Bombyx mori: one gene and its partners. The protein of the gene in region 3 purifies or fractionates together with the protein of the main gene of each other region. This does not show direct contact. Links are inferred from orthologs where the notes say so. Each region holds a gene or a part of one and is shown on either strand. Other genes may lie near its edges.

Evidence for each region. The genes of interacting proteins can lie anywhere in the genome.
Region 1: the proteins of SWI/SNF-related matrix-associated actin-dependent regulator of chromatin subfamily B member 1-A (region 3) and paired amphipathic helix protein Sin3a purify together in Homo sapiens (affinity purification with western blotting; 3 studies listed by BioGRID, with this or other methods). This does not show direct contact. The link is inferred for Bombyx mori from reciprocal best matches to the Homo sapiens genes SMARCB1 and SIN3A.
Region 2: the proteins of SWI/SNF-related matrix-associated actin-dependent regulator of chromatin subfamily B member 1-A (region 3) and histone deacetylase complex subunit SAP18 fractionate together in Homo sapiens (co-fractionation; 3 studies listed by BioGRID, with this or other methods). This does not show direct contact. The link is inferred for Bombyx mori from reciprocal best matches to the Homo sapiens genes SMARCB1 and SAP18.

The regions. Positions count from the first base shown.
Region 1 is NC_085108.1:988,990-997,389, forward strand, and holds the start of paired amphipathic helix protein Sin3a, read left to right. Parts: upstream 1-3,684; 5' UTR 3,685-3,857; intron 3,858-4,944; exon of another isoform or gene 4,945-5,130; intron 5,131-8,400. Other genes in the region: protein seele, read right to left, coding at 2,536-2,603, 2,694-2,781. UniProt on the Homo sapiens protein: Acts as a transcriptional repressor. Corepressor for REST. Interacts with MXI1 to repress MYC responsive genes and antagonize MYC oncogenic activities. Also interacts with MXD1-MAX heterodimers to repress transcription by tethering SIN3A to DNA.
Region 2 is NC_085129.1:7,371,392-7,378,659, reverse strand, and holds histone deacetylase complex subunit SAP18, read left to right. Parts: upstream 1-3,758; 5' UTR 3,759-4,006; coding exon 4,007-4,081; intron 4,082-4,416; coding exon 4,417-4,821; 3' UTR 4,822-4,852; downstream 4,853-7,268. Other genes in the region: protein sarah, read right to left, coding at 1-8. UniProt on the Homo sapiens protein: Component of the SIN3-repressing complex. Enhances the ability of SIN3-HDAC1-mediated transcriptional repression. When tethered to the promoter, it can direct the formation of a repressive complex to core histone proteins.
Region 3 is NC_085122.1:12,048,995-12,055,475, reverse strand, and holds the start of SWI/SNF-related matrix-associated actin-dependent regulator of chromatin subfamily B member 1-A, read left to right. Parts: upstream 1-1,472; 5' UTR 1,473-1,647; coding exon 1,648-1,728; intron 1,729-2,796; coding exon 2,797-2,987; intron 2,988-3,442; coding exon 3,443-3,605; intron 3,606-3,896; coding exon 3,897-4,044; intron 4,045-4,761; coding exon 4,762-4,973; intron 4,974-6,481. Other genes in the region: putative tricarboxylate transport protein, mitochondrial, read right to left, coding at 1-122.

The sequences.
Region 1 (8,400 bases), on a different chromosome or scaffold from region 3:
TTGCAACATGAATTGTCTAATAACAAGTCGTGCTATACTATTCCTAGAAAAAGGATGCCTGCATATCCATATCTTCCTTAGTCAAACTCACGGCGAAGAGATCGACATGCGAACTAACCCATAGACGCAGCCCACTCTGGTCGGATCTTCTCAATGGGTCGCGATTCCGATCCGGTGGTAGATTCAGCGAAGCACTGCTCTTGCTAGGGCCAGTGTTAGCAATTCTCTCAGATTGAGACCGTGGGCTCAACCGGTCCGTCCATAGTTGCAATGGGCTTAAGAGTCTACAGGGTCCCAACGATTAGATAGACGAAAAAATCCACATCTTTACCATGGTGTCACGAAACATACATCAACATTAACAGTGCCAGTGGGCTCCATTCACTATTGATAGCCACTGCAGAGCACCCAAACGCAGGGATCTGGTACTTTCCACAATGCAAGACAAAAGACGATATTTGAAACTACCATGTTCACAACAAAATCATATTTAAGTTATTAAGTAACATTTGGTTTATCTCAAGATATAGGTTCACTTATCTGCGACGAAGGCACACGTAACGTTATGTTATCACCGATTTTATGGTAGCATTAACGTAACCTTGCGATACACATGTGGCGATTACAATTTTTCTTTTAGTACCCTTATGAATTGCATGAACAAAAAACCTTGTCATTTCGTCCAATACTATCCGGCTGTTAGTGGTTTTAGTCATACAAAATTTATCGTCGCTCCTAACTGGAGGAGGGTTGCTAAAGATACGACAACAATGGAAGATGCTATAGGAGGCCTTTACCAATAGACACACTGAACTGAGAGACATTCTCTAAAATATACAAAAATTAAATCAACAGTCCTAAAAGCTCAGGATAAAGGGCTCATTAACTGATTTACAAGATGCAGGGTGAGAAGGAATCCCCAGTTGGGAAGGCAAAAAGGCTTGACGGTGGCCTAAATACAATTTTGACAAATAAGGTTAAAGAAATCTGTTAGCACACTTCACACAGCAATGAACAAAAAGCTAGGAGCTGGATGAGGTGGCTCAAGGCGTGCCTTACGTGCAAGGCGTGATTTAGTGCCGCAGGTGGGCTCCCATGCCATTTTTTGAATAGCAATGCTTTACTCTATTAAGGCACACTGTTAAGGTGGTACCGGTCCTTGCAGTTTTACAATATACTCTATCTACAGTAAAAACATTCCTTAGAGGATGGATGGAGAGGATAACTTCTTAGAGGATGATGTAGTTGCAAGGCATCGACCCCAAACTAAATGTGTTGATGAAGAGCATTTCGATATTTTTGAAAATCCTAATGATGATATCAGCATGTGTGATATTTAACATGTGTGTTTATTGATATTTTGAGTTACACTTCTTCTTTTTTTCCTATTACACTGCTGGGGTGTAGAACTCTAATCAAATCCTTCCCTTTACATCGGTCTTGGGCAGTCTGTTCTAGCTCCTCCCACGTCATGCCCAAGACGGTTAGCTCCTGCTCCACCAAGCGACACCCAAGTTTTTCTGGGACGGCCTCTCTTCCTTTTGCCAGACACTTTCCACATCAGTGCTCTATTGGATAGGTGGGTATTGGGCTTTCTCTATATGTGGGTATTCAGTATTCAGTTGGTATGGGTTGGTATGAGTACAAAGATGAGGTACGATATGCCTGAATTGGAAAAGAGGATATGCTGCCACAATACTATTTAATCAGGTAAGAGCAAAAAGAAGAAAACAGGAAACACAACAGGCACAGCATAAGTTACTACCGCATATCCCACACAGGCATGTTGGATATATGTTTTTATCAGTATTAAAATTAAAATCACCTCAGTAGCAAAAGTATGGTATAGTCAGCTGCTATGTACTTGACGAATGTGTTAGTCAATATTCTAAATATGTTTGCTTGTCTTGAATCAAAAACGGTTGAAGTTTTGAGTAAAATTGAACACATAGATAACATTACCTACATTAATATGTAGGACAATGTGGGAAATGACATGATCCAGTTAAGGCTCAATATATCTTCTAAATAAATATTACAGTATATTCTCTTGTGGTTCGTGTTTTAAGCCAACTGGTTGTTTATGGAACAGAGAGTGACACAAGTAACTCTTTATCCAAGGAAAATGCTATGTAGTTTATTATTTCTGGATTACAATGTGAATATTTGGAAAAATAAAGCTCATAATTATTCATTATACTTCATTTTGAAACCACACTTTGTACTGGAGAAAGTTATGACTATTTTAGTGTGACTGTCAACATTTACTTGAAATATAGTTATAGTGAAATATAGTAGAAACAAGTTATAATTAAATTATTTTTTTCGTAATAATTTTAACTGTCGTGCTTAAGTTTTTCTCATATTTTAGATGCTAAAGGAAAGATTCATGTTAAATTTGTATAAGATTATTTGAAAACATACAAGCAAAAATTTTTAAATGTTTAACAAATTAAATCAATCTTGAAAAATGTAAAAGAAAAGTTTTAGATGCAGATTTTTTATATTTTTATTTTAAAGTTTAAAATTACTCACATCGACTCTTTTCCATTTATCTATGCTTTTTATCACCTGGTGAAGCTCCTCAAACGTCGTCCGACAAACTAGAAAAATTATATAATTTATATCAAATAAATATTAAATTATCATATTAACAAAATAATTAAAAAAAACAGAAAACACGTAGTACACACCCAAACATTTTAAGTTTTTAGGGTCGATTCTTGCTGAAACAACACTGAATAAAATCACAAATGCAAAAATTAAACTATTCAATCTCATTTTTGTATTAAAAGTTCTTGAATTCTTCTTTAAATTGCGACGAATTAACGATAAATGCGATGAAAATTACAGACGTGTGTTAAAATTAATCTTTTTTTTGACAATTACACGATCTTTAATATTATTGGCCAGTAGAAAAAAATCAGACCGTCCGTATTGGTCGATGAAACTATTAAGCAATCAATTACAAATGAAACATTTTCGGTATTGTTGGCCTATGGAAAAGGACTATCATATTTTACTGCATTATCTTCTAATTTTTCCTTATTGAACTTAATTTGTCTTCAACATTGATTGAAGAAAACAATCAACGATGACAATATATTTGGTGATAAAGGTGTCAATCTACAGTTTTCGTAAAAATATTAATTTCCTAACATTAAAGCATACAGAATAGCTGCTTAACGTTGCGTCAATATTTTGAAGACTATACATAGTTTATTACATTTTGTAGATATTAGTAGGTATAAAGTATAGGTATGTAATCGTTCTACGGCAATATACTTAAAAAAATGGCAATTAAAAATTTGCCTATCGATTACCTACTACATAAAATATATCATTCATACACAATATGTGTTTATATAAGTACTCAATATATATTATTGTAGACGTATATTTACAAAACTATCGCTTTGCACAGGTCCGCGTGGGTGCAACAACCTGCACTAATGATTTTTTCAAAAACTTATATACCTACAATAGAACTCTTCAGACAATGACATAATTTAAATGGTACAACAGAATTGGTTGATTTTGTGTACGTTTTTTTTCATTAGTAATAACGCGTTTACGTTTCTGAGTTCTCGATCGTCCGTTCTCCGGTTTTGCGTCCTCCCCGCGGCCCTCTGTCCTAGCCCCGGGCGTCAGCCGCCAACCCAAACCAACAAAAACCAACAGTTCGCATTCGGTCTCTGTCGACGTAGGACGTTTGCTCAACGTAATGTTAAATTATTCTATGCATTTGAAATTCTTTAAAATCTTAAAGATACCTTAAAAACGTTTGCTATTACGTCGAGAAGTGACGTTCCTGTGATTTATTCGTAGAAAACCGAGAAATTCGAGCATCCAAAGAGGTGAGTGACTGGTTGTCAGATTGCGTCTGCCATTCAAAGCTAATTGTCTATACCATTTATCTATTTTGTTTTGCTTTATATCTCACCTTTTATAGAAATATACCTACAAAGCACCCTTTGCAGACTAGTTATACGCATTGGCCCACACCTGTTCAGATACCATACGTTAACCTTTTGCCGCACGCATAATTAGACCAATGTAACTTCTATTTATGTAACGTTGCAAAGAATTCTTCTTATCACTTGAACGTGTTATGTGCAGTTAGAAAATCTCAATTTCATAATGGTAAATGGCGCGCTGGCCAGTTTCAGACGACCTGGCAACATCAAGCGCGCTAACTATAACAGAAATAAATATCTAGATGTTCTTGTTATTATCATGTAACCGGCATTTCCCTTTGTTTTCCGTGTGAAATCCTCCTTTGTCCTTCGGTAGGGAGCGCTCGATGCGCGAACGTAAAGGAATTTCGACTCTAGAAAAGCGCCATAATACATTGATGATATTGATATACATTATTAGGTTGGGCCATTCGCTCGCGTCGTCGTTCTTACAGCGCCTGTGTTTGTGCGTATCTACGTGGAGGACGTCAGTGTGTTCGTGGTGTAGTTTGTTTATACAGATAGCTACGGAATTCTCGTCTTTATCCCGTTGGCACGTAACATGAAAGTCGAGCGCAGGTCGGCGTCCTCGTCGCTGTTTGTCTATCGATCTCTGCGGTGGCCAATGGCACATGTCGGTACGGTCGTGCGCGGCCGCGCCTCGGTGAAAGCCGGCCGTTCGCTCGACATTTTACAATTTATGTATAAATTCTACATTAAATCAGCTTTTCAACACTATACCTAATATCTTATCGTTTCATGAATTGTTACGTTACATGCATTGCAGTCACCACCCTTCCCTCTCCATATACAGAAAACCACATGATCTACATTATGTTTTCAAATAAGAAAAATACGCGGGACTGTATGATGATAACATTATAAGATAGATAGTGTTTTGTGGAGCCTTGCTTGGAGCTCGAGCGTCACGGCGCTGCGGGGTGGGGGAGGGGAGGGAGGGCCTGAAATAGAAGCGCGGCTTGGAGCGTGCGACGTGGCAACGTCGCCTCTGCGACCGAGCTCAGTGTCGGTTCAAAATGGCGTCTGTGCGTGATCAATACTGTGATATTTGCGTTAAAAATGTGGTGTGTGTGGTCGCAGGACGGCATAAATGCTACCCTGGATCCTCAGGGTGTGCACCCCACACCCAGCCCGGGCTGTCACCCAGCTCACAGTACGTATTACAAACATATTGCGCCGACACTCATCGCTTCATGTATCTAGGTATGACTACCCATATGATTCGTATGGGCAGAGCGACTGTACTACAATCATGCAGTATATTGATAATACATACACAGCGCAAGCCTTAAAGAAGTTCCTAAATATTTTATTATATTACGGTTATAAATGCCTAGACAAGCAAAAAATGTGTCATCACAACGAAACGAATTGCACCATGATGAGGCATGATGTTGATTACGTAATCCCAGAATAATTTATATTGGACCATGTGCTCGTATTGGAAAGGAAGGTTTGAAAGTAGCAAATTGAGAACTTTATAGTGTTTCTTATAATCTTTTAAATTTGGATTACACAGGTTTAAATATAAAACAAAATGGCGGCATACGTGTCCGTATTTAAGGCGTAGTAGATTAAAGTTGGCAACGTCGCATTTCGCGCGCGCCCTCGCGGTGATTGTTAGTAGGCATGTTGATTCGATAAGAAGTTCCAAGGCTAACAGTTTTCGTATTTCCAATGTTTACAACAATGGATAACTTGAATGCGTGATAATAAACGAATAAGTATGTATTCTTGACGTTAAGAATAATTTATTTAATATCAGTAAAACATCGTCCTACGTATAATAAACACGTTAAAAGGTCAAATACTAGTGAGTATAAGTGAGTAAGTAGAGCAAGAGTATAAGTACTAAGTAGAGTATGAGTATACAAACTAAGATGATTCACTATTTATTAGTTTGTGATGGACTGCTTTTGTTCTTAACTGAGAGACTCTTAACATTCTTAATTTTGACCATAACCTGAACAATATAATATGCTTCTTCAATAAATTAGTTTCTTAATTGTAATCACTTAATTTACAAATGTGTTTCGGAATAAAAACTTAAGGATGAACCTTAAAAATTAAGGAAATCTTTTAACGTTACTGGTTTAGGTTTATCAAATGAAATAAATTAAATCCCTGTGATAGTTATTATCTTAGGCTGTTCACCCAATACCTTTGCCTTTAAAGTTAAGTTTAGGCAGTTAAATAAAAATAAAAAAACTTCATAACAAACATTTGCTTACGCACCGCTTAAATTAAACTACATAGTTATGGATTTCAATCGAAAAACAGACTACACAGTGGCTACCAGTAAATCGTTAAAGAGACTATATTCGATTTTTTGAATCGACATTCGTTATTACGATGTACTTAGAAGTCTGTCACCACTTCGATAAAGAGGCACGACACGAGAACCCTCTTATTGTGGCCGCCGGTAACTACATTCCCGATCCTGCGGAAAGAATGAAAAGCAGTCGACGTCACCCCAAACACGTCAATTTCGGATCCTCCCAATCCACTAACGGTGCTTTTAGGTACCTCAAGCACCGGTCACCGTTCTCGTTGAACCCAGCGCTTGCAACGAAGGGCTCGTCGAGTAAATTAACCCTTAGACACAGCCTACTGAGTTTCTCGCCGGTTTTTTTTCAGTGGGTCGCGTTTCCGATCCGGTGGTAGATTCTGCGAAGGACGGCTCTTGCTAGGGTTCGTGTTAGCAACGTCGTCAGGTTTGAGCCCCGCGAGCTCACCTACTAGTTAAGGTTACGCTGAAATAGCCTCTCAAAGCTATCAGCTTAGGTAGGAAAAAAAAGTCTGTCACAAAAAACAATAAAAAAATACAAATATCTAGTCAAGATTCACTAAGAATTAGGTGGTTGGCTGATCTCATCTTCGTAATAACCAAAAGGTTTAGTGTGGGACATAATATGGAAAGAGCATTGGAGATACAATTCAAATAGGTTTTTTTTTGTCCTACCTACTCTGGTAACATAGGGGCTTATGCCAGCATAACCGGGGAAATAACAACAGATCGTGTACCTACTATGTACTGGTTTGTGCAGCGAAATGTAAATGCGTCGTTGCCATATTAAAAAAAATAGTTCGCGCGGTCTTGCATGAAATCACGTTAATAACTTCCTTATTTCCAAACATAATTTTTGTTTTCATCAGTTTTAGGTGTAAAAAGATTGTTGTGTTTTTAGTCTCGTTACAAGCTTGAAGTATTGCGAAATTGTTATTTAATATGACCCTTTTCTTCGATGTTTTCTCCACAATTGTTCTTTATAACATAGCACTGGTTTTTTTCGACAATTAATGCACAAATAGGGAGATATCCTTCAAGCGGGCTGATGAAACAGGCCCGGTTGCGTTACCACTCAATTCACGTATGTATTTTGATATTTGAGGTCATCAGCGCAAAAGTGGCCTAACCCACATTTTTTTTACATTCAAGCATATATGACGTATATTGGAGTTTATTTAAAATATAATAAATTTTTATGCAAGACCGGCCTATCCATAGTTTCGTCCATAGATAACAGATAGCTTTGTAAACATTATTTTTGCGCGGATTGTTTTCTTGCTTACTCAAATTTAAATTCATGAAAATTCAAACCTAATTGCCTCCATACTAACTATGATAAGCTTAGGTCACTTTTGCGCTGACGGCCTCATTTCTACCTTACTTAAATGCACCGATCTGGTCCGCTGTGCTGGTCGACCTATGTTCAGACTGAATCAAACAAGCCAAACTTCAGAGGAACTTCCGCTAGACCAGTGGTCGGCAACCTGCGGCTTTTCCGCGATATTTCAAACACGAAATATTACTTATTATCTTTCCTCGTAAGAGACCGGTACACATTTTTCAAACACAAGGCTATAAAAGCGTAAGTTAAAAATAAGGCTTTGAATAAATGTTCAATTGTGCATTATCTATATTTGTCTCTTATAGTTGACAAGGTCGCCCACAACTGGCCTAGATCGATCTGAAAATTTCATCAGCCGTTACGGAATCTATGAGGAATATACACCGATTTATATATATCTATACTAATATATAAATGTGCTATACTAATATATAAATCTATACTAGTATATAAATGTGCGCTAAAGTGGTTTTTACCGATAATCCGTTATAAATAATGAACCATGCATCCGATTGACTTGAAACTTGGTATCCATGTAGAAAATACATGTACTTCATGGATAGGCTAATATTTATGAGTGGTGGACTCCCTACATCAGTTGTGGGGATGAGAAATAATAAAGTTAATTTTAAATGGCCAGCGAAACGGACGGTGCTGCTAGTTTTTAAATAAAGATAACGAAGAAAATGTCCGTGTGACATTTCGACTTCACAGCATGTTGTTTTTATTTATTTATTTATACAGCAGGAATAGATTTGTTTTTCTGTTACGCATTTCACGTTTCGATGAGT
Region 2 (7,268 bases), on a different chromosome or scaffold from region 3:
TGTGCCATGTTTCCCCGCTACTGTGTAACGTATATAACAGTATCTGAATATTTATATACAGTAATACCATTAACAATTCTACTGTTAGCGCTTAGGATATTTTATTTAATGAATTTTTCAATTTGACTGTATTTATGGTATTTGACAGCTATCGATTGAACATAGATAATACACATATTTTATAAAACTGAAGATTGAAATCGCTTTTTAGTTTAAAGTACCGTACTGAACGACCATTAGCTATTCAGTATTTTAGTCTAATGTTAGCTATTCAAATTCTTCAACCTTCAATAATAAGCCACAGTAAAAAGCGAGAGCTTACTAAAACTTACTATATTAGGAGAAGCCTTTTTTTATGATTGAGGGCTTACTGGTGGCCCGAAGGCCATTCCAGTTTCACAAGGACAGGTAGAAGCCATGTCAAGAGGCTATTCTCGGCTTCTTATATTTCTCTCTTTCTCGAATTTGTTCTCAAAGTCACAATATTCATCGGTGTCCAAAATAAAGCAAAATTAACATAGCTTCGCTCCTTGCATTCTCTGCCAAAATAATAGGACATTATGATCTTATTGACAACCTAAAGACACTGCTAATATAAAATGACGGTAGTCTACTAGTTTATGTGTATTATTATCTATAGGTAGTTTTGAACACTTTTATGACTTATTTATTAATGCGGTGTACAATAATCGAAACATGTTATCAGAGATATTGTACTTCAGTAACGGAAACATTAGCTATACAATTAATAAAATAGTGATAGAAATTACTAGCCGTTAGCCGCGGTTTCGTCCACGTGGCTGTGAAACAATGTCAGTGTAGTTTATGAGGACAATGACATCCTTTTTAGAATAAAAGGTAGCTTAGTATCTGTGAAAGTGCACAAGTATGAAAAATGAAACAAGTCCAAAAAGTCATAGTATATAACCACCATTTTACTGAATCTCTCTACAAAACTTGCATATGCCCCGCCATGACGTATGCAAGTGTAGTGTTCGCTCACGCGGCCCGCACCAACTTCAAATCCCTTCAGGTTATTCAATCCCGTTTTGCAGGATAGCCGTCGGAGCACCATGGTAAGGAACGTGGATCTCCATTATGACCTGGAGCTCGACTTAGTCAGTAAATATCTAGAGTCGGCATCATTGCGCCACTTTGAGAAGGCTGCATGACACGGGAACCCTCTTGTCGTGGCCGCTGGAAATTACATACCCGATCTTGTAGACTGAATGGTACCACAAGCATCGGTCATCGTCCTCGTCGAACCCGTCCCCTGCGACAAAGGGCTCGACGAGCGAATTAACCCACAGACACAGCCCACTGAGTTTCTCGTCGGATCTGCTCAGTAGGTCGCGCTTCCGATGCGGTAGTAGGTTCTGCGAAACACTGCTCTTGCTAGGGCCAGTGTTAGCAACACTCCGATTTGAGCCCCCTGAGCTCACCTACACGTTAGGGCGAAGCTGAAATAGGCTCTCACTCAAGGCTATCAGCATAAGTAGGAAAAAAAAAACTGAACCTTTTTTAGTAACATTTGGTTGTGTTCATAATCTTTCATCTCTCATCTCATGTCGTTTCAGTTAGTTTCACCTCAAATGATTACAATCTTTAATAAATCAACTTTATTTCTTTTGGCTCATATTATAATATATTCATTAACAGCAACCTATTCCTCGAAATGGTTTTTTGTATCAAAAAGAAAAAAATCATCGATACTCATTATAAAGTAATAGCTGATATGGAAATATTTTCTGAGTAGTTGGAAGTATTCGTGAACTTTACATAATATATTACGTACATATTTAATTAGAAAATGCAACCTCTCTGCAAGATTTGAATACTGACAATGAGATAGTCGATTAGTCACATCGTTCGATCCACGACGGGCGTCTTATCCTTTAAATCACGACGACTTCGAACATATGGCCTTAGTCTTCATGGTCATAAATTTCTAGTTATAACAACATGTCGTTTATTTTTATTAAATTTTTTGGTTTTTATGACCTGGTACTTCCAACCTTTAGGTCAAACATGTCATTTAAATAATGGTAATGAAATTTATATCTCAATATAACATTAATTGTTCTCTCGGTCATGTTTATAAAATTTGCTATCATAAGTTTGATATTTAATTTTGGATTGAACAAACTCGATGCTAGCAATAATGCATCCCAAGAAGTTCGCTTCTCGAGTCCGCTTCGAGTAGGTATAATGGCTTAGCTATAGATAATACAAATAATATAAGACCTTAAATTATGTGTATTATCTATGGCTAAGTCAACCAATTCATTTATAATGGACTTTTGGCGGGAACGCGAGGAGTGAAGTTGTGTGATTTGTTTTATTTTGTCTAGTTAGTGTTTCTTCAGATTTAAATGTGTAATAGCGGTGGTTTATTAACTGTTTAGTATCTGTGAAAGTGCACAAATTTGGGAAAATAAAACAAAGCCACTGAACGTAACTTCTCGGGATCTTCCAAAAAGTCCACTGAAAAAGTCTCAGTAAATGACCACCATTTTACTGAGATTATGCTTCATCCCATATCATCTCATCTCATGTCATTTCATTTCGTTTTCATTTCACTTTAGGTTTCATTATAATCAACTTCATTTTATTTCATAATATCATTTTCATTTAAAAAAGTTACGTATCATTAAAATTAAAATAATACTTGACCTAAAGGTCTTAGTTACCAGGTCATAAAAGCCCTTCAAAAAAAAAATCATTTATCATCAGAAATTGTTTAAAGGTACCGTAAAATGGGGCGATTAGGGACAAATTCCAACTTTATGATCAATTTTAAGGTAGTTGTTGATGTATATAATGCTATATCAGGATCAAAATGATTGAGTCTTGGGGGCATCTTTGTTGTCTAATTTAAAATTATGGAACTAGCATTCCAGTTTAAGCAAAAAATGCAAAAATAGGTGTAATCCCTATTTACCCGAAAATTGCGGTTAATTGGGACGAAATGAGAAATTTGCTAGGGTTGGCACTACTTTTATTTTTATATATAGTTTTAATTTATTTATTTATTTAGTTGCACCAACAAAGTGATCATCAATAAAAAAAATTGAAAAACTGACAAAAGTACATGGCAGACATCACCTCAATTATAGGTGCAATCGACAGTGCTGATATTTCTATCTGGGTTAAGAGATTAGGTGTGTCGGTTATTCCATGGATTAATCAGATGAATACCCCCACTCTGAACAAATATTAAATATTTTATTATGTATTACTTAGACATTTTTGTCCACCTTGAGATTTCATTGATCTTGTTACATGTCTCTCCAAAATTGACTTACTTATATTAAATTGCTTATCTATTTCAAATAAAGACTTATTCCCAATTTCGCTTCGAATAAACCAGATTTTTACCAACAAATTTAAAAAATATTGTTATAACTACATAGACAACCCTACAAACCTGTACCTATTTATACTTAGTTCGTTTCCATTTCACGTATTCTCATCCCAATTGACCCCTTTTTCGTTGTTATTTGTACCTAAGCCGTCCCCAATATCCCCAAAACAACAGATTTTTACATGTATTTTTATTTAATCAAATACATTAAAACCAATAACAACTGAGACTTACCTTTAATATATATGCTGGTTCAAACACTAAATAACGTTTATAAATCATAGTCGTTTTCTATTATTATCAAATAAATAAAAGAGAGCAAAGTTTCTAGCACTAAAATAATTACCACCACAGGAAGTTAATTTGAAACGCGATTTTTTATAAGTTAGCAGCTATTATCATGCATATTCAGAGTTGTTTTGTGAACTTTCAACATTCTACTATTAAACTACAAAAAATGGAAGATTTTGCAACGAATATAAAACTTATATTGAGCGTCGAAAGATTTTCCCAGTTTTTTCCCGATTCGCCTCTCAATCCCTAATCGCCCCATTTTACCGGTACATGTATTTAAAGACTCGCATAATTTAAATAATTACTTAAGTTGGAAAAATTAAGTAGGACCACAATTCTCCAAATATTATGAAAATGGCGGGATTAGAATCAATGGTAGTTGAAGAAATTAAACCGACAGAAAAACCGGTGGACAGAGAAAAGGTACTTTGTTAAACAATATAATTGATTATTTTTTACTATAAACAGCATTTACTTTAAATTAATGTTCGCCAACTGATTTTAATTTGACCATAATAATCAACAGAACATTCAAATCCGTTGTGTCTACTAAAGCACTCTGTTCTTTTTTGTTTCGTAATTGACATTTTTTCTTGTAAATGTGAGATATAAAGTAACAATCTATTTGTTTTCGATAACACTAAAGCTCGTTCATTAGGATTATAAATAAAACACAATAATTGAATTGACAGAGGAGGAAATTTGTTATGCTTTTTCCTGATTATATAGAGATATAAATTTAACCTAAAATGTTTCAGACCTGTCCTCTATTGCTCCGTGTGTTTTGTTCAACTGGCCGACATAATTCTCCTGGAGACTATGTTAGAGGAAACGTACCTCAGAATGAATTACAAATATATACATGGATGGATGCTACACTGCGAGAACTTACAGGACTTGTAAAAGAAGTTAATCCTGAGACGAGACGGAAAGGCACATACTTTGATTTTGCCATTGTGTATCCTGATATGCGTTCCCCTACATATCGTATGAGGGAAATAGGAGTTACATGTTCCGGACAGAGAGGAGGCGATGATAACAAGACACTTTCACAACTGAAATTTCAAATTGGGAACTATCTAGACATCTCAATAACACCCCCAAACAGAATGCCACCACCAATGAGGCGTCCACAACCATATATTAATAATCGTCAGTACTGATAATTAAGTTTAATAAAAGAATGTGTATCAACTGTGTTCTTTCACTTGATTTAAAGGGTGAAGTTGGATTTCATTAAATTACTATTATAAAGGGGAACACCCACTCTCCATAGTGTTCTGGGCCCAAGATGGACATCAAATATTACTATAAAAATGGACTGTTTCTTAAATATATTGGATATCTAAAAAATATATTGAAATTGACACCACTATTATAAAAATAAAATAAAATAAAAAAATCGTTTTGAGGTTTATTTTCTATATAAATAAGTGTTGGATTATGAGTTACTTCAAGAACTTTTCTTTTATTAATGTTTAATTTATTAATTATGATAAGGGAGATGTTCCTAATGTAATTTTATCCAATTGTAGTTATTAGGGTATAAAAAACACATGTTTTTCTAAATATCTATGTTTTCTTCATCTTCATACACAATTAATAAATCATCTAAAAATAGCGCAGGAGGGCATATCCACGGTTATGAGTCTCGTTCAGTTTAAAACCACAATTCACACTATGTCTTAGTCGTAGTATGAAACATTATTGATCGGTATCCATAATCGAATGTAGCTGTGATCTTTAACTCCTGAGCCAAAGTCGTCGTTGAAGGGAGGATAAAATCCATAAAACAAAGTCAGTAAAATAAATCGAGGAAAAATCAAAACGCATCCATTTTACGCACCATTTTTCCGTTGTGAGCACAAGCAGCAAGCGAAGTGTCAGTCAGTCAGGTTTTTATTTTAATTATTTTGAAGTCGTCGTGACCTAACGGATAAGACGTCCGGTGCATTCTTGTTGAGCGATGCACCGGTGTTCGAATCTCAGGCGCGTACCAATTTTTCTAATGAAATACATACTTAACAAATGTTCACGATTGACATCCATGGTGAAGGAATAACATGGTGTAATAAAAATCAAACCCGCAAAATTATAATTTGCGTAATTACTGGTGGTAGGACCTCTTGTGAGTCCGCGCGGGTAGGTACCACCACCCTGCCTATTTCTGCCGTGAATCAGTAATGCGTTTTGGTTTGAAGGCAGCCGTTGTAACTATACTTGAGACTTTAGAACTTATTTATTTATTTATTTTTATTTATTACACTTCATATAAAATTTACATTGGCGGACTTAATGCCTAAGGCATTCTCTACCAGTCAACCAAAGGTAGTGCAGAGTGAATAGTGGTAGGTGCAAACTTATATCTCAAGGTGGGTTTTTTTTCTGCTTAGATGGGTGGACGAGCTCACAGCCAACCTGGTGTTAAGTGGTTACTGGAGTCCACAGACATCTACAATGTAAATGCGCCACCTTGAAATATAAGTTATAAGGTCTCAAGTATTTAAGGTTACAAGTTGAAGTCTAATGGGTATGTCTTTGATGTTATTTTATGTGCTTATAATCGATTAAAATCCATTGATTAATGTTAATACTTAAAATGTTTTATTTATATTTTTTTTTATGCACTTAAAATGTTTACTTAATACGTAAAAGGTTTCAAACTGGCAATATTTTTCCCGCAAAAATCAAAAACTTGTTTTTTCAATAGAGTTACTTTTTTTAAATTATTTAATGTAAACTGCAGTGGCGCTCATTTGGAAGAAATTAAATGCATATTTATTTATGACAAAATTAATGCACTAAGTATTTTTTCTCTAATCTATTGTCCACCTTGGGCCTGAAATGGGCATTCCCCTTTGTGTTTGTAATTACAAAAACAAATTTATAATATCAGGTCCAAAAAAACCAAAGGTCTACTTCAAATACTGTTTTAACACTTATAATTTCCTTCCTGAGTTATGGATTTTTTTTTATCAATAGGCAATTATTCTCACAGCTGACCTGGTATATTAATAAAATTTAGAAGGTATATATATTAATTATTTTTTTGTTGTAGACATAAAACCTATTGCATGGCCAGTTATAAAAAAAAAGACAAAGAAAAAAAAGACTCGCCGACCGCACTGCGCGCATTGTGCACGGACCCGCCGTATTTTCATCTTATTATTTTTTTGGAATTTCACTATGTACTTTTCTCTTATGAACTGCTACGGGCGATCATCCTCGTCATTGTCCGAGTGTTACACCGGCTTAGCGAACACAAATAAATTAGAGGAGAGCTGTCAAGCCGTTAGGCCGAGCGCCGCCAATACGCGTCGGCCACCAGTCACGTTTCTTGGATTCTGCAGCCTGCAAGAAGCCAGCGACGGGCTGTTAGGTACGTCTACTTCTCATTACCTAGCCTCGGCCTGCCCTTCTTTTTGATCACCTGTTGGCGATACTCGCGCCCGCAAGAACCTTCATAAATATAGAACCAGAGCATCGCTGTGGTGAACATTTTTAAAAGATTTAGTTTTTTCCCCACTACAAAAGTTCAACTATCATATCGAGCGGTGAAAGGCTATCTGATATAAGCGAGATTTCGTTTAATACGCGACATTTATCATGG
Region 3 (6,481 bases):
CCGCCGGCTACAACTCCCTTTAAGCCTACTGAACCCGAACCACCAGCCGCAGCCGCTGCACCTGTCTCCGACATCCACGGTCTGGAGAATGGGTTTTTGAATGTTCCTTGCCGTGAAGACATGGTCTCTTTTTTCGAGCACTTTTGAAATTCGCAACGACTGCGACGACACTCCCCTACGACATTTAATTTCAGACTAAAAATTTAGGTTATATTAGTTATATACAATCATACTCTATGCTAACAATATGTGTTTGTGTATAGTCTATGAACTAAATTACTTTTTGGCGGGAACGCGAGGAGTGAAGTTGTGTGATTTGTTTTATTTTGTCTATTTAGTGTTTCTTCAGGTTTAAATGTGTAATAACGGTGGTTTATTAACTGTTTAATATCTGTGAAAGTGCACAAATGTGGGAAAATGAAACAAAGCTGCTGGACGTAACTTCTCGGGTTCCTCCAAAAAGTCCACTGAAAAAATCTCAGTAAATGACCACCATTTTACTGCGATTATATTTCATCCCATATCATCTCATTTCATTAAATTCATCCCAGTTGATTAATGTCTCAAATTAATCATCTTCATTTCATTTCACTCCATATTATCATTTTTCATAAAATTAAGACTATAAAGTAAAATAAGACATGACTTAAAGGTCTTAGTTACCAGGTCATAAAATCTCTTAAAAAAAAAAAAATCAATTAAAATAGGACTTTTTGGCGGGAACGCGAGGAGTGAAGTTGTGTGATTTGTTTTATTTTGTCTATTTAGTGTTTCTTCAGGTTTAAATGTGTAATAACGGTGGTTTATTAACTGTTTAATATCTGTGAAAGTGCACAAATGTGGGAAAATGAAACAAAGCTGCTGGACGTAACTTCTCGGGTCCCTCCAAAAAGTCCATTGAAAAAATCTCAGTAAATGACCACCATTTTACTACGATTGTATTTCATCCCATATCATCTCATTTCATTAAATTTCATCCCAGTTGATTAATGTCTCAAATTAATCATCTTCATTTCATTTCACTCCATATTATCATTTTTCATAAAATTAAGAATATAAAGTAAAATAAGACATGACTTAAAGGTCTTAGATACCAGGTCATAAAATCTCTTAAAAAAAATCAAATAAAATGTTTTTTTATTTTATGACTTGGTAGCCTAGACCTTTAAGTCATTATCTTATTTTAATCTTCTTATTCTAATTTATATCTTATTATAATTTATATTCTTATTTTTATGAAAACTGATAATATGGAGTGAAATGAAATGAAATGAAATGAAGATGTCAAGAATGTCTCAAATTAATTTAAATTAATATTTGAGACATATATTAAAGGGATCAACTGGGATGAAATTAAAGGAAATAAGATGAGACGGGATGAAATATAATCTCAGTAAAATGATGGTCATTCACTGAGATTTTTTCAGTGGACTTTTGGGTGAATCCCAAGAAGTTACGTCCAGTAGCTTTCCAAAATAATATATGACTTAAAGGTGTACGTTACCAGGTCATAAAATTAAAAAAATAATTGGATACATATATACATATTCACAGAAACGATTTATAAATTTTACCCTTACCAAATTAACATTACAATTCTTGAAGTAAATGTAATTATTTTATCAAAGGAACAACACAACTACAAAAATGGCCTTACGTACGTACGGCGATAAGCCGATAAGTTTTCAAATCGAAGAAGGAGGAGACTTTTATTGTGTTGGCTCAGAGGTAAGTTCCATACATTTCTTGATTAAAAATACATCGAACTACTCGAAACATAATTTTAAAGATACGTTATTAAAAATTATTTCATTCACTAACGGAGCTAGTCTTTCTTTTGTCGAAGAACATCGTTCCTAACCTCAATCTGGTCTATTATACAAACTTGCCTTTTAGAATTATTCTTATTTCGATGAGGCTTGGTTTCCATTACTGTAAAGCAGACTATAGTTTATTGTCCATCAAAGTATAAGATAAAAAATAGAACAATAGGTCTATATCACCCTTATGAAAATGGAATACAAATTTTGGAGATAAAATAACTAAGGAATTTCTGTAGAAGGCAAAACTGAGCTGTAATAATTATGTTGCCCTTTAATGACAATTCTTTAAAACTCATTTTCTTAGCAATAATCGAGTAAGTAATCCAGTAAACAGATCCATATTTAACAAAATCCCAAATACATATACATGTACAATAACATCATTAGCTAAGAAACCTAAGATTTTAGTTAAAGAGATACAAATCATGAAAGTTTACCAGTCCATTTTAACTACTGGCTTAAGATACCATACTGTACTTTTTATCTTTTTTCTGTATCTAGTTGCATAATTCAGTGTTCATGTGAAGTTTCTCACTATAATCTTCTATTCTACAGTAGAACTTTCTAAAGCGCCATTATGAATTATATTGAATAAGTAAACGACAGTGATTGCTTGCAGTGCAAATTAAAACAAGTTGTGGCACCCAATGCTGTTTCTGCTCTTATTTTTTTAGATGAGCAATGATGTATTTTCTTCAGTGTTTCTGAATTGTATAAAAAAAGGTCTAATTTCATATTTATTATATTCATTTCATTATCATTTTTCATGGCATATTAACACTGTTCTAACTACTGTAAATTGTTATGACAAAAAATTTAAATGATTAAACAATAACAGTGGTTTTAATTAAAAGCAATGCAAAATTATATTGTGGTGTCGAAAACAGCAGTTTTAACTTGAGATTTCCAGATTTTGTATTTTGATTAGTCTTATGCCCGCTTAAAAATGCAAAAAAATTAACTATTGCCTTAGGTCGGGAATTACCTGCGCTTGTTCCGTGGGTCACTCTACAAGAAGTACCCTGGCATGTGCCGGCGTACCCTCACCAATGAAGAACGTAAGCGATTAATTGACAACGGTCTTGGTCCTCATGTGCTGTCCAGTTCAGTTTCACTGTTGAAGGCGTCAGAAGTTGAAGACATTATTGAAGGGAATGATGATAAGTACGTCATTATAAACATTTTGTGAACTATTGAAAGCGGTTAAAACCGACAATTGCTGTGTTAGCATAGACAGGTGAACGAGTTCATAATCCATCTGATGATAAGTGAAGCTACCTGAAGTAGTCAGTCGAAATATTAGACCTTTAAGTTTTGGTGAGCACCTGGCACTATTGAAGTCCACGAACGACATTAACCACTTACCATCAGAAGAATTGTATGTTTGTCTTATTTTAAGGACAATAAAAAAAAAAACAAAATGTGTGCATATCTTTCTTCTTCATCGCTCCCTCATTGCTGAGGATTGTGACTCTGTTTCAGCTGTGCCAGTCTCCATCGGTTCTGGTCAGTTGCTGTGTGCATATCAAGGAAATCTTAAATACTATGAATTGTATATGAAACAGCAGTTGTCCATTAAACTATTTACAGCTATGACACAGCTTTAAATTAATTTATAGATACAAAGCAGTGTCCGTCAGCCAAGAGTTGGCGACACCCCGTGAGAGCAAAAGCAAGAAGCCACACACTCCATCATGGCTGCCAGTCATGCCAAACTCTTCTCATTTGGATGCTGTACCCCAGGCTACTCCAATCAGCAGGAGTAGGGTGCATAATAAGAAGGTAAAATGGATGTTAAAGTCAAAACTTAAAGTCCAGTTGGGCTTCAGGTTCTGACTCCTAGGTTTATCTAGTTAATCATGTTTGACATGGGGCCACACTCTAAGGTCAACACAACACATTTAATTTAGCTTCTGATTCAGGATAGATAGATAAGATAGATAGAATATCTCAAAATCAGAGACACATCGTAAGATAAATAACAGATTTTGAAATGGAACATTGGAATTAATGTAATATACTATAGTTCTAAAGTATCATTATTAAAACTAGCATAAAATGAATACTTTTCAGGTGAGAACATTCCCACTGTGTTTCGATGACACAGACATGACTGCAATGCTGGAGAATGCTTCGCAAAAGCAGGTGCTTGTACCGATTCGATTGGACATGGAGATTGAGGGTCAAAAACTCAGGGATACATTTACATGGAATAAAAATGGTATGTTTAACTGCATTTGTTACCAATTCTGGTTGTTTATTCTCAATTTTTGATTTCAGAAAGTATTTGAATAATAGAATGTGTAATTGCTGTCTACCAAATTATAAATAGATTGGCTGTATTTACTGTGAATTGTATCGACTGTCAATTGAAAATATATAATAACATTTTCTTATATCTTTAACTATAACTATTCTTTATAAAGTTCTTTAATCATGCTTAATGAAAATTGTTGGTCTGCAGTAAGTGTTGAAGATCAGGAGGACCTTGTCCAACTGTCTTGGATCACAGAACAGTTCCAATGCGCCCTGCAAATTTGGTTAAAATATTTTTAATGTTTTATCGTTTTCATTCTATATTGTTCTTTTAGCACAACCCTTACATAAATTTAGGAATACGCTCCTTAATTTTTATATCCATAATGTGTATGTTCCCACTTTTTTTTCCTGCCTAAGCTGATAGCCTTGAGAGGCTATATCAGCGTTGCCTTAACTAGTAGGTGAGCTCACGGGGCTCAAACGTGATGACGTTGTTAACACGAACGCTAGCAAGAGCCGTGTGCTTCGCAGAATCTACCACCAGATCGGAAACGCGACCCACTGAGAAGATCCGGCGAGAAACTCAGTGGGCTGTGTCTGAGGCTTTTTCTCACAAGGATTGCAGGCAGCCTATTAACAAGTTTTTGAATAAATAAAAAATTGGAGGATTGTTTTCCAGAATCAATAATAACACCAGAACAGTTTGCCGAGGTGCTGTGCGATGATTTAGAGTTGAACACGAGCACCTTCATACCTGCTGTGGCCTCCTCGATCCGGCAACAGATCGATGCCTTCCCGAGCGAGCCTCCCCCCATACTGGAGGAGCATACCGACCAGAGGGTCCTCGTCAAACTCAATATACACGTTGGAAACACTTCGTTGGTAGATCAGGTAGGTTCAAGTTACAAAGAAAACTCAAATAATTAATATAGAAGATGTAATTGACATGTGTAATAAGTAGAGGTCGGAGTAGGTAGATTGATTTAAGGTCGTTGACGTCAAACGTAGAAGATAATATGGATACGCCTCCAAAATACCGGAACTTCATATTTATTGTGATATTTGTTCCGGAATTTTGAAATTAGCTGGAATCTGTGTTTGAGGTGAAAAACGCGTTAATAATATTAATCTACGCTACCAGTTGTGGCGGGTAGCCATCATACAACGCAAGATAATTGACAGATGCCTGAATCTCGCTTACGACATTTTCAAGATAAAGCGCATATATACAAGTTCCGAACAACAACATTTGGACCGTCGGTCTACCGAGCAATATCATCTGCTCGGTGGAAGATCTTCCCTTTGTCGTATATATCCCTACACAGTCTTAGCTAATGGTGAAAGAAATCTGTATTTTATTTTATACAAAAACACCTTGGAATATATTTTGTCCCTTTCTGTTGACTTAGAAATGACGCTTGTCAGTATGAGACAAAATTTAGACAGGGCTTTTTGTTACTTTATCTCATAAATAAAGAAATTGTATCCGATGAGGCTTAAAAATGTTTTTTTTTCCATTAAAAAAAAAACCATTATGGATAAAATGACATGTCCATATTGTAATATCTTGACACAAGTATATAAAATCAATCTACCTACTCCAACCACTGGTAATGAGTGTGAATGTTTACTCACAACACAATAAATCATTGCTCACATGGAAAAGCGAATGAGAATTTGACATTTGAATATTTTTAGTAATTTTAAAATTTAAAGTTATTTTTTATTGCACAAATGGTTGGACGAGCTCATAGTTCACCTGGTGTTAAGTGGTTACTGAAGCCCATAAACATCTACAACGTAGATGTCGCCACCCACCTTGAGATATGAGTTCTAAGGCCACAGTATAGTCACAACGACTATCCCACTTTTCAAACCGAAACGCATTATTGCTTCACGGCAGAAATAGGCGGGGTGGTGGTACCTAACCGCGCGGAATCAAAAGGTTTTACCGTCACTAAATATTATACAAAAATTATTATTCAATATAATAAAGGGACTAGCGGACTCGACAGACGTCCTGCAAAATTCATTCAAGTCGATCCAGCCGTTTAGTTGTAGTATAGATAAATAACCTAGATACCGCCTGTAGCGCCATCTGCCGGGCTGATTTGTGAATCTAAACCATCCAGGGTGCCACCCAAACGCATACAAAAAAAACATTCAAATCGGTCCAGCCGTTTAGGAGGAGCTCAGTGACATACACACGCATAGAAGAAATCTATAAGTCTATACTAATATATAAATCTACAGTGGTTTTTACGGATGTTCCGTTATAACTACTGAACCATACATCCGATTGACTTGAAACTTGGTATCCATGTAGAAAATACATGTACTTAATGGATAGGCTAATATTTATATGAGTGTTGGACTCCCTACACCAGTTGGGGGCGTTA